Coturnix japonica: one gene and its partners. The protein of the gene in region 3 purifies or fractionates together with the protein of the main gene of each other region. This does not show direct contact. Links are inferred from orthologs where the notes say so. Each region holds a gene or a part of one and is shown on either strand. Other genes may lie near its edges.

What was found.
Region 1: the proteins of ARPC1A (region 3) and ARPC2 purify together in Homo sapiens (affinity purification with mass spectrometry; 8 studies listed by BioGRID and IntAct, counting the BioPlex papers as one, with this or other methods). This does not show direct contact. The link is inferred for Coturnix japonica from reciprocal best matches to the Homo sapiens genes ARPC1A and ARPC2.
Region 2: the proteins of ARPC1A (region 3) and ACTR3 purify together in Homo sapiens (affinity purification with mass spectrometry; 7 studies listed by BioGRID and IntAct, counting the BioPlex papers as one, with this or other methods). This does not show direct contact. The link is inferred for Coturnix japonica from reciprocal best matches to the Homo sapiens genes ARPC1A and ACTR3.

What each region holds. Positions count from the first base shown.
Region 1 is NC_029522.1:24,164,780-24,169,039, forward strand, and holds the start of ARPC2 (actin-related protein 2/3 complex subunit 2), read left to right. Parts: upstream 1-1,455; 5' UTR 1,456-1,581; coding exon 1,582-1,655; intron 1,656-4,260. Other genes in the region: C-X-C chemokine receptor type 1-like, read right to left, coding at 1-273, 868-1,357. UniProt on the Homo sapiens protein: Actin-binding component of the Arp2/3 complex, a multiprotein complex that mediates actin polymerization upon stimulation by nucleation-promoting factor (NPF).
Region 2 is NC_029522.1:26,881,517-26,885,718, reverse strand, and holds the start of ACTR3 (actin-related protein 3), read left to right. Parts: upstream 1-1,397; 5' UTR 1,398-1,530; coding exon 1,531-1,574; intron 1,575-4,202. UniProt on the Homo sapiens protein: ATP-binding component of the Arp2/3 complex, a multiprotein complex that mediates actin polymerization upon stimulation by nucleation-promoting factor (NPF).
Region 3 is NC_029529.1:4,392,676-4,396,689, reverse strand, and holds the start of ARPC1A (actin-related protein 2/3 complex subunit 1A), read right to left. Parts: upstream 2,801-4,014; 5' UTR 2,668-2,800; intron 2,280-2,667; exon of another isoform or gene 2,178-2,279; intron 1,872-2,177; exon of another isoform or gene 959-1,871; intron 1-958. UniProt on the Homo sapiens protein: Probably functions as a component of the Arp2/3 complex which is involved in regulation of actin polymerization and together with an activating nucleation-promoting factor (NPF) mediates the formation of branched actin networks.

The DNA of each region.
Region 1 (4,260 bases), on a different chromosome or scaffold from region 3:
CAGCCAGGTTGAGCAGGTAGATGTCGGTGACGGAGCGGTTCATGTGGCTGGAGGTGACCACCAGCACCACCAGCCCGTTGCCCACCATGCTGAGGAGGAAGACCAAGCAGTAGATGAAGGCTACGAAGTATTTGTTGGCTACAGAACCTTCATTACGGCATGGGGAAGAGGAGACATCGATGTCAGGCAGAACCAGGCTGTAGTTGCCATAGTCAGAAGTGTAGTTGTATAAGATATCGAAGAGTTCATCGGCGTAAAATGTCCCCATTTTGCCTGCAAAGCACAAAGCAACGTGGGCTCAGGGCACATCCAGCACTTCCAGCCCCCATTGCTCTCCCACACCCCATAACCTCACCACACCATACAATGAACAGGCTCATGCCTGAAAACTATCCCCATACGTCCTCCTGCCCAACAGCCCCGTGTGGACTGCTTCACCTCAGCACTGTCCCCTCCAGGTTCAGCCCCAATGAAGGATCCCTCCTGAGTCCCTCCGGTTGGTGTGAGTCCTTTGAATCCTGATGTCCTCCCCAAAAACCCTTCTCACACCAGCTCCCCGAGTGCACCACAGTACCCAGAGCAGAGGAAACACGCTTCTCCCCACTATATTTTTGGCTTCTCCTTCCGATTCCCCACCCAAATTCCCTGCAGTTCCTATGGGGACAGATTTCTGCCCACAGAAGGGGAAGTCTCCATTTCCTCCCTGGACCCCACGCAGAAAACTACTTGGGGACATCAGCTCCCCCCAGGGTTGGGGTTACCCTACGTGGAGCTCAGATTATGCTATGCAGAGCCCTCCCTGCACCCCTTGCCCAGGTAAGCAGGGTGCCCCATGGCACCCCATAGCCAAGCATCCCACGCACTCACCGCCTCTGCTGCACCCCAAATCTTCTCCCCTTCCCAGCTCCAAGCCCGGCTGAGGTCTGCCACGGGATGTTACCCCAAAACGGAGACCCTGGGGAGCACGGGGACGTGCCAGCAGGTCCCACACCTGCACCAAGTGAGCCAGGCTCAGAGCTGGCACTGCCGCTTTATGCAGCGCAGGGAGGAAGCAAGGTTGCAAAACCTTCTGCAGCACGAAGAGGAAGCGGCAGCAGAGGGGACACCTTCCCTGCACCCCCAGCCCAGGGCACAGCACACCCGCTTTGCACGGCTGGGGGGGGTTCGTGGGGCTCTGCTGGCCATGGGGCTTCACCCCATCCCTATGGGTGCTCCGGGGACACCCCATATTATCCTGGGGCGCTCTCACATCATTAGTATAACGCTGGGGGGGCACTGTAGGGACTCCATCATCACACATAGGGACTCCATCATCCCACACAGGGACTCCATCACCCCACATGTAGGCAGTCCCCATTCCGGCTCACCCCACCATTCCCCCTTCACACCCCACATTCACTCCCGACCCCCATCATGTAGGCGGTGTGTGTTGGGGGGGGGCGGGACGAGCCCGGAAGTGACGCGCGGGCTCGAGAGCGGAAGCGGCGGCGCAGGCTCGGGCGGGTCCCCGGTGCGCGCAGCGGGCTCGGCTCCCTCCGGCCTCGGAGCGCTGAGAGCCGGTTCCCCAACCCCGGTACCGACATGATCCTGCTCGAGGTCAACAACCGTATCATCGAAGAGACCCTCACGTTGAAGTTCGAGGGCGCGGCCGCCGGGTAGGGCAGGGAGATGGGTCGGTGAATGAGGCCGGGGCGGGGCGGAGGAGGAAGCGTTGCGGCCTAGTGAGGCCTGAGGGAGGGGAGGGGGATAAGGAGCTAAGGGATAATGTCTATGGGAGAGGCGTGGGAGGGGCGGGTGGCACCGAGCTGGGCCTTGGGTGTGAGGTATGACAGGGCAATGGGGACATGGGGTGGGGCCGGCAAGGGTGGAGGGGGCTGAGGTGGTGGGACTGAGTGGATGAATGGAAGATTGTGTGAGGCCAGGCTCCATGGGGTGCTTAGGGCTGGGATTAGGTGAGAGTGATGGAGCTTGTGGTGTTGGGGTGTGCCATTGGGATGGGAGGTGTTGGCAGGGTCAGAGGATCCGCTTGTCCTGGCTGCTGGCATAGGGCTGCTGAGCATCTTGGCTTTGTGGAGGTTGTAGGGCAGTTGATCTGCACCTGTATCTTTGGTCTGGATCATATAGTCCCCGGGGAGCCACTGAGTGTTACTGACAGCAGCGCTTCAGTGCTGGGAAGATATTGTCTGAGCATAGTTCAGCTTGAGACAGTCATCTCACGTGAATGCCCTTATCTGCAGCCATGCAATCTCCAGAAAGAGATGCTGCCTTAGTGGTGGTCAGCCCTTAAATGGGATCTAGGAGACGTGGAGTCAAGCTCCACCCCTTCCAGGAGCACAGCTGAATTACCTTCACCTGTGCTCCCACAGCTCCCACTGTGCTGCCTTGTGGGATCACCACGCTGCTCTCTTCCCTGCCATCAGCCTCTTCATGTGATTATTTAGTGCAACATATCCCCAAAGCACCACACTGGGAGGAGAGAGCTCTTGGGTGCTGCATTTTCCATTAGGAAAAAAACCTGAAGTATCTGGAGGTTAATAGTGTGTGTCAAAAAACACTCGTTCACCACAAGCTCATATGGAGGCGTTCTGCTGGTGGGAGCCTGTGTGCGTGTCCCTGCATCAGTCCAAGTGCAGCAGCAGCAGTGAATGGAGGATGCAGCCATCAGGAGACTGAGTGCAGCTCAAAGCCCTGACTCAGTGCAGCTAGAGCTGAGGTTACTCACTCACCTCCAATCTACAATGTTTCCATTTTGCTGTACAGCAAAGCTTGTTACTGCCTCAGCGTGCTTGCCTGGCATACCAATCCTTCCTGGATCAATTTGCTGTGAGTGTGGCCAATGATATTCTGCCTCTTGTTCTATGGGCCGTCCTTTCTTTTGCATAGAAGACCAGCTAAGTGCTCCTTCTGGATGAGTGTTGCACCCTCAGAATGTTGCTGGAGGGGAGGAAGTAATTCACTTCTGCATTTTCTTCTGTGCTTGTGCTGTTCTGCTGTCCAGGAAAGAACAAGGCATGGATGAAGGTCAGAGATGAAACCAAGGAAAATGGAAATCTACTTCTCTGAACAAGTCTTTTTGGGTACTGGTGCTATGCCATGCCATGTTTATTCATGAGATATTTCTTTTCCATCCAGCTGGTGTTCCAGGGTCATCCTGTGGCATTGAGCTTGAAGGCAGGAGGGGATTTGCTCTGTTTGGGTGACCGTCAACCCAAGATGTGTCCTGGGGATGGACCCAGGGTGGTCAGGGCAAGGACACACTCCAAGGGATTAAGTGATTGAGAGGAGTAAGTCACTGTGAGCTGACCCTGAGTTATCTGCCCTGCAACTTGAATTGTGCAGATGTGATGCACAGTTTATCTAAACTTGCTCCATGATGTGGGCACTTCCCTCTCCTTCTGTGACTGTGCCATGGATCCAGCAGCTCCCTGAGCTGAAAGATTAGTCTGTCAAAGTGCTGAAGTGGGGGAATACCTGGGAACAATAACCTATTTTCAAGGTAAAACATTTCTGTCTCCTGTGTTCACTTCTTTTTAAAGCACAGCAGAGAACTACCCCCCCAAAACAGATTTGCCCTCCAGTTTTGGTCCACTCTGATCCCAGCCAAACTGTAGCAGAGGGCTTGTGTTCTTAGGTATGGTTCTTCAGCCTTACATTGCTGGCAGTTTAGGGCAAGCTAATTAATCATCTGTCTCAAATTGGTACTTACTGTTTACCTGCTGTGCAGGAGAAGAAATTGCATAGGTGGAGAACAGTGTGATTTTTCCCTTGGTTGGAGGTGGAGGGGAAACATATCTCATTCAATGTTAGGTTTCTGTAAAGCTTTCAATAGGGGCAAATTTGCAGGGTTTCATGAGTGCTGGTTGAATGGGAAAACAGCTGAAGCTTCAACTTCTGTGCTGTAAACCAGTTCCTGTAGGCTGCTTGGAGAGTTTGGCTGCAACTGCATCCACATCCTCTGTGGTATTTCCCATTTGTGGTCCCTGTGGTGCTCACCTGCTCTGCAGTGGAGTGCTCTGGCCTTGCTGGGTGAAGGTGGGTGATACGAACTTTGTGCTGCCAGTGCTGCCTGGGAGTGACTTCCTTGTGGGGTAGCTGGGGACAGCACAGGGATGGAGGAGCTCAGGCAGCCCAGCATCTGCAGAATGGCCAATCCTGGAGCAGGTGAGAAGCGTTCAGGTGATGTTTGCACTTTGGGGTTCGGTGCAGGATCAGCAGCACCTCCTGCAGCTGCCGCGTTTGGTGCAAGACAAGAGCAGATAT
Region 2 (4,202 bases), on a different chromosome or scaffold from region 3:
CCAGGGCTTTTATGTGGCTCCTGCACCCAAGGGCAGGGAGTGTGGGTGGAGGCCCCCGGTGAGGCTGATTAAAGTCATTAAGGGCCATTACTTAAAGCCATTAAGTCCCATTAAGGAAACTGTGAGCCTTAATAGCTCCTTCTTTGGATAGGTAACCAATTTTGTCTTTGGCAGGACATCATGTTACACCACCAAAAGCACCCTCCTATTGCAAAGGCTGTAACAGCAAGTAAAGTACAGAGAAAAACCCACAATATCACATGAGCTGAAACGTTAAAATGTATTGACAGCAAACAAAAATAGTGTGCGTGTACAGAATATTATGGGGCCAGATCTGTTGATCACAGCAGCCTGTCTTTCAGACACCAAAGCACTGTGAAAGGTGGAAAGGAAAAGAGCGACTTTTCAAATACCTTTTTATTTGTTGGTTTGTTTTTGTTGTTTTTTTTCACCTGAAGGCCTCACCTCCCAGCCTGCCTCAAAGCACTGCCCCGGGCCTATGACCAAACCCAACGGGGGGATGGATGCCATCCATCCCTGTGCTAGTTTTGCTGGGAGGGCTGACCAGGGCAATGCCCATGCTTTGTGGTTTGAGATAGCAGCATAGAGGTCTTATTTAATGGAGAGCAGGGTAGGAAGGGGACCTCAGACTGCTCCTTTGGATGCCTGTGAGTAAAGAGGTGCCTGAGGGACTCAAATATCAGAAGGGAAGCAGGACGGTGGGCAGTCAGCTGCATCTGGTTCTCTCCCACGGAAGTGTTTTGCTTGTGAGCAGTGCTGAAGGAAGCCAGAGAGCATCTGTAGCACTTCTGGAAACACCAAAAAAAAAAAAAAAGCAGAAGAAAGAGTGAGACTTCTGCATTTGCCCTTTGATGACCGTGTCTATGGAGAAGGCTCTTCATGCCCTACTAGGGGCAGTTATCTACAGCCGTCACTGGTGGTGGACGAAGAAGCCATCCTCTTGTCATTTTTAGCACTCTCTTCCCATCACAGAGGCCTGTCCCGCCTTCTCTCAGCTTTCAGGCATTAAAATACAGTCACAGAATCACAGAATGACCCGGGTTGGAAGGGACCTCAAGGATCACGTAGTTCCAACCCCCCTGCCTGGCAGGGCCACCAAACATACACCTTTACTAGATCAGGTTGCCCAGGGCCCAGTCCAACCTGGTCTTGAACACCTCCAAGGACGGGGCATCCACAACCTCCCTGGGCAGCCTGTTCCATGGTCTAACCACTCTCCTAGTGAAGAACTTCCCCCTAACATCCAACCTAAATCTTCCCTCTTTTAACTTAAAACCATTTAAAACGAGATCGGACGTCAGCGATGGGTTTGTCGCGCCCGCCCTCTCCGCCGTAGCGCGCAGGGAGGGGCGGCTCAGCCATCTTGGTGTCGCCGGGCCGTGCGTGCGGGCGCAGGGAGGAGGAGCGTCCGCCTTGCGGAAGTGCCCTCGCCCCCTGAGCCGGAGCCGAGCGGAGCCGGAGCGCGCCCAGGGCTGCCCGCCGTCCCCAGCACCGTCGCTACCGAGGAGCATGGCAGGGCGGCTTCCGGCCTGTGTGGTGGACTGCGGCACGGGGTGAGCGCCGCTGACAGCTCGGAGCCGGTGGGGAGGGGCAGCCGCCGCCGCCGGAGATGGCGGCGAGGGGCGTGCGGTGGTACGGGAGGGCCGGGCCGGGCGGGGTAGTAGCGCTGCCCGCTCCCCATCCGCTGTTGGAGGGGAGGCCGCGGGGGGCTGTGCCCGCTGCCCGCAGCGCTGAGGGCGCGGTGCTTGGTGCTGATGGAGCCCCGCTGAGGGCGGTGGTCCATGCGGAGCGCTGCGCTCGGAGCTGCCGCCCGGCCGCGTGTTCGTGGCGGTGATTTTTTCATGTCATTTATTCTGTGTTACTTCTATCAGTGAAACGGGGGGAAAAAAAAAAAAAGAAAAAGAACCCCTCCCCCGCCAGTGAGCAAGCGCAGAGGAACTTCCTTAGTTTTGTCAAAGCCTCTTCCTGCTTTCAGGCTTTTATACCTTATAAGGCAGTTTTTTCAGTGTCAAACCTGAAGCAAATCCGATTTAGAAACTCTTCTTTTTTTATTTAGCAGCGCGTCAAAAGGTGAAGAGGATGGGATGCCGGCGATGTGCTGTGTGAAGCACGGCCCTGTGGGGTGGGAGCCCCGGGGGTTCGGCCCCTCCAGCCCTATGACGGGGGCTGGGTGCCCTGCAGAGCTACAGCACGGCCTGGGTGCTGCTGGGGGTCACTGGGCTGATCGCAGCAGTGCTCAGGAAGTGAAAACCACATCGCAGCCGCTCTCTGTAGTGCGGTTATCCAGATAGAATGGTTCATTTGAGCCCTTCTGCACTGGGTTCTTATTGGGAAGAGAAGTACCGGTGTATGGGCTGAGCTCTTCCTCTTTGACTAGCGCTGGTGGTTCTGAAACTTGGCTTTCTGTTTTGTTTCTCATCCGTCTTCCTGCAAGTAATGGGGGAAGTTTCTGGGTGAATGCAACCTAGGGGTAGAAATTAACAGTCCACTTCATATATATATTCATCTGGAACTGAAAGCACATCCTCGTCTTCTCTACCAGAGAATCCATTTGGTTTAAGACATTAGTAAGTCTCATGCAAGAAGAGTAGTATCTATGTAATGTCTATATGTTTAACATTTGTGTGAAGAAGTCTTGTTTGTAGTTAGAGCAAGAGCAAAACTTGCGCATTTTGTGGGATAAACACAGCAGGAATGAGAGCGTGTGGTTGCATGTATTGGAAGCATACAGGCATCATATGATGCTTTGGCCTCTTCTCCCAGGCAGTGAGCAGTAGAATGAGATGTGACAGCCTCACGTTCTGCTAGTAGAGGTTCAGGTTGGGTATTGGGTAGCTTCTTCTCAGAAAGAGCGATAATGAATTGAAATGGGCTGCCCTGGGAGATGATTGAGCCAAGAGCTGTGGAGATTTGCTGCCGAGTGACATGGTTAGTGGGCATGGTGGGGAGGGTTGAAAGTAGAGGTTGTAATTGCTAGAGTCAGGCAATTTGATCAGAGCTTCCAGTGATGCTAGCCAGAAGCAGCGCAGCAGAATTCAGCTGTGCAAGGAACCACACAGTTCTCTTGATGTGAGAGGCTTACCGAGGGACCTGAATGTTAAGAACATATCTTCCTGGAGAGTCAGCACGTAAGTGCGCCATTAGTCAACCTCATTGTGCAGGACATGCTCTAATGTTCTGTTATGTGCTGCTGACCACATCTCCCTACTTTATTTTGTTCTTCAGAGATCTCTCCGATGTGCTGTTTTACCATCGGTCTGCGTTACTTTGAAAATGGTTCTACTACTACTTCTGTTTCTGATGCATCTCATAGTGCCAGGTTCCCCTTTCTTGAAGTTCCGTTGTGCTGAATTGTGGATGGAGACTTGAACTTTTGGAAGCTGACGGAGAATTTGGCATGTTAGAATGTCAGTAGGTGAAGATGTGAAGTGGTCAATTAACAAAATGAACTCCTGAGACAAAGGGGAAACTAGCATGGAAAAGGATGGAGTGAAGTAGTAGTAGTGAAATAGGATGTGGTAGCATAATCGCAATGACTGCTTCTTCCATTGCACCCCTCCCTGTTCCATCTCATTTGGTGTGTATAAGCAAGGTTGTTACTCACGCACTATGTGTATGTGCTCTGTGCAGATCACCTGAGGTCTCAGCTATGGCATTGTCTCTTTGATTTTGGTAGGCAAGACAAGTTAGAGAGAGACACTGAGAACAAGGGGAGAGACTTAGGAAGTATAACCAATACAAAAAGGTTGAAAGGAACTCTTGTTAAGAGCAGGCAAGATTTTTGTGCCCAAGTTTTCCAATAATTACGGGATGTTTTGGAGAGCAGATCTTCCTGCATGTCATTCATGCATGTAGGTATGGGTTCATCTGGTGCAGTTTGAGATGAGTGGTTGGTGTGTTTTCTTTTTTACCAGCTAATGTTGAGGGGAAGGAGAAGGGTGAGGGGGGGGGCACTTGTGCTTCTCAGCATCAGCCTGCACAGATTTAGCCATATGTTAAGAACCCCTTACAAAGCATGAAGGGAACAGAGCACAGAAAGGGTTAGGGAGAGAGCGCCCTACCTGTTCTCTGATGTTTTAACAGTCAGATGTTTTAGGGACGGTCCAGGTGCACGTCATGCAGCTGGAGCTGGCAAATGGGTGAAGTCAATGGCATTGGCAGTCAGATTATGGGTGCAGCAA
Region 3 (4,014 bases):
AGTTGGGGGGGGGGAAAAAAAACGTAAAGATGTAAAAATGACAACAAAGCACTTCAAAGTTGAACAGTTATAAAAACAAATCGGTCTTGAACATCTACAAAGGCTGCTTCAGTCCACTATGATGATCTATCTACTGTGCATGTGTCATTGTAATTAAGACCTTTCCCTGTGTGCCCCAAGATCTTTAGTAGGTCAATGAATTGCTCTAAAAGGTGTATGCACTTGTTTCTTCCTGTATCCTCATAAGAGGAAACAGGTTCTTATGAAATTAACACACCTAAGAATTTAACTGGGGAATTAGAATACTTAAATAAGAAATTCAGTGATGTCTCAGTGAACTGATTTGACATTCTGGTGTGTATTGTAGTGCTGTGAGCCTCAATGAAGCCTTTTTCTTTTCCATCCATCAGGAGGTTAAGCTGATGTGCTCAGATGTGACTGTAATCTGCTGATGTGTTGCTTGATAAAACTACTTATGTGTATCCCAGGGAAAAACTACTAACATCAGTAATTAATTACTAATTCCTTCAAATTAATCCTAACAATTAATTGCTTTATGGCTTCCATCCTTATGAGACTCAAACAGTAAAAGATCAAATTGAATTCTTTGGGTTTGTGAATGCTTTGTTTCATACAAAGTGAGACACCCAGTTTTTTCTTTTCTCTTATGAAAGAGACAGTGCAAACAGGTGACTGCGAAGCTGTTTAATATATCAGATCTTATTTCTGTGTCCTGTGTTAATCAAGGACAGCATAAACGGATGGAAGGTAGCACTGTAACAACTCAAGGTCACCTGCAACAGCTGCAATGTGCACAGCTCAACACACACAACTTGGATTTGTCCATTTCTTCCTCCTTTCACATATTAAACAAACTTTTGTAGCAATTTATCCATGGCTGATGGCACGTTGTCGGTCTGCCCCACTGCATACATCTAAAAAGCACCATCTCTGTGATGTCACTCCAAGACATCCACACCCATCGCAGCCTGAAATTACAACATAGCCAAGTATGGCCATGTTAGCAGAGGGTGGAGACTTCAGGACAAGGTAGGAATTTGGAAGCAAACAGGAAATGAACGGCAGTCCCACAGAAACTCAGGAGTGAATGAGAGATGAGTAACCCCTTACAGAGCTGAGCACTCCCCTGCTTTAAGAAATATGCCTAAAGTCCTGAGTAGAGATGATGCAGCACTGTTCATATATATATATATATAGTAATCTATATTATATATGAAAGCCATGATCTGCAGTGTCATTAAATGTACTCAAAGCTCATTTAGCTGAACTTCATTTTAAGTCCAGTTCATAATTGTAACTGTTCTAATTTTCTTCTAATAATCATATGCTAAAGATCACATAAAGCTGCTATTTGAGTACAGCCCTCAGAAGAATAATTACTTATTTTTATTAATGTGAGAGAACTGCCATGATCCAAGTTACCTCTGACCTTGGGCAGCTATGGTGTGAGATTCCATGCATTAACATAAGCAAAACATCACAGCAAATTGCTTTTTCCCCAGTCTTGCTTTAATACATGCCAGCAATTCAGTAGCAGTGCATTTCCATATACAAGAAAAGCTGACGAGCTCTTCTACCAACAGGGAATGCTCAGCCTTTTTGATTCTTTCCAAATACAAAGTAAAACTATCCAATCTCTGCTGCCTGAAGAATGCAGCTATTTCTAATGCAGTCCTCGTGCTTTCTGCACAGATTGGCTCCCTGTACAAACACTGCTGTCCCATCCTAACAGCTCCTAGTTCAGAGATTGTTTTGCTCACTAACCTACAGGCTGTTCCCAAAGCTTACAGCTGGACAAGGGACATGATGCATCCTCATCCTTCTCAAGCACCACAACTCACAGCAAGCAGGTAATGTTCATTAAGAAAGAACAGTGATGACAATCTCAAAGAGCACAAATATTTGCCATCTGATCGTTGCAATATTATTTCCTTTGGGGAGATAAATACTGTTTGTAAGATCTTATGAAGATTTATTTCTTATCAGTGGCTGAATGACTTGATGTAACCAATACAGCATAAACCCCACAGTGTTCTCCTGTCTGCCAAGCTCAGGATTTAACATAGGAAAGGCACTGTCAAGGTAACTTTGTTAGGTAGATAGAGCTTCCTTTCAAATGCAAACTAATTGTCCTTGTTTCAATATTTTCTTTTAAGGGCAGGGTGCCAAAATTCCTCCTGCTCACCCACACAGCCCCTCAGAAACTCAGCCCTGAGAAGCCCAGGACTGAGCTGCTGTCACCTCTCGAGAAGCACGAGGTAAGGAGACAGCGAGGAGATGCTTCCAAATTACAGACAGTGTGAGTGTGAGAGCTGCTGTAAATCTCTGCCTATTTCCAGAGCTGCCTGTGACTGATCGCTGCCTCCCCCCGCTGTCATATCGGCCCGTTCCCGTCGGGGCGGTGGCCGCACTCAGCCGGGCGGTGCCGTCCCACACAGGTGCCCGGTGCTGAGGCCGCTGTGCGGTGCGGACAAGGACGGAGCTGCCCCGCCGCCCCCTCTCCCGGCCCACCCGCCCCTCTATGAGCACAGGGCCGGGTACGGGCCCCGCACGGCGGGCAGGCCGCGGCTGAGTGCTGCAGAGCCGCCGCCCCCTCAGCAGCTGGGCCTGAGGGCGGCCAGCCGTTCGGTCGGGGCCGGGACTCACCTGAGGCTGCGGGGGCGGAGCGGGGCTCGCGGACTCTGGGCAGTCAACGCGACTCCGCTCCGGGCGGCGGCGGCGGCCGAGGGGAGGGGTGGGAAAGGGGGGCGGCCCGGCACTGACAAGGGAGCCAGGAAACGCGCACTGCGCATGCGCGCCGCCCGCCGGCCAACCCCGCGGGATGCGCATGCGCCATGCTGACGGGGAGGGGGGTGTCGGGGCGTGACGGGAAGGCGTTGTGCGCATGCGCGGGGGGGAGGGAGGAATGTGCCGCACACAAAGGCGGCGGGCGGGTTGGGGGCGCATGCGCAGTGTGGGGATGTGGCACAGATGGGGGGGGCTTCACGTTGTGTGTGAGGGGGTCTATAGGTGTAAGAGGGCTCTATGGCTGTGTGAGGGGGTCTATAGGTGTAGAGGTCTATGGGCTGTTGTTGAGGGGTCTATAGCTGTGTTGAGGGGCTCCTATAGGTGCTGAGAGGGGAAGTTATAGTAAGAGTGTAAAGAGGCGTCTTTGTGCTGGCTTGTGAGGGGGGTCTATAGGTGTGAGAGGGCTCTATGGCTGTGTGAGGGGGGGGTCTATAGGTGTAAGAGGGGTCTATGGCTGTGTGAAGGGGGTCTATAGGTGTAAGAGGGGTCTATGGCTGTGTGAGGGGGGTCTATAGGTGTAAGAGGGCTCTATGGCTGTGTGAGGGGGGCATGCTGTGCCTCGGTGGATGGAGGGAGCAAGGCAAGCTGTGTCCAGCATGGTAGAGCTGGTTGGGGTACAATGTACTTGGTGTCAGCGCTTGTCTGGGGAAATACCTTCGGTCCATTATTCATTTATAATGAAACAGCCCCTGTAATTGCTGTGTTTGGAGATGGGGTCAAGTCTGAGCTTGTATTAATGCACTGTCAGAGGGCTAGAATGCAAAGAGGGGAACTCAATGGGAAAAAGCATCAGGTAGTACTGTGTGCTTATAACTGTGGGGCTGGTTGTATTGGTGTTAGGAAAGGCAGCTGTGTGTTATAGGAAGGGATGGAGGAGCTGCTGTGGGCTGCAAGCTGAATAGCAATGTCCTGCTGTTAGAGCAGTGAATGCCATGCAGGTCTGTATAGTGCTAATAGGATACAGGCATCCTGCCATGCTGAGCTGTGCTAAAACGGTGTGTCCAGTGCTGGGCTCCATGTGAGCAAAATGTGTGTGATTTAGAGGAAAAAGGGTAAAAATAATGCTCAGTCTTTGAACACATGACTGTTACAGAGCTGGAGGGAACAGAGCCACAGACGTAAGTCTTCAAATAGATAAAAGGATGCTGCCATGAGGGAAGGGACGATTTGTTCTCTCATGTCCATTGGGGGTAGTAGGGTGAGGAG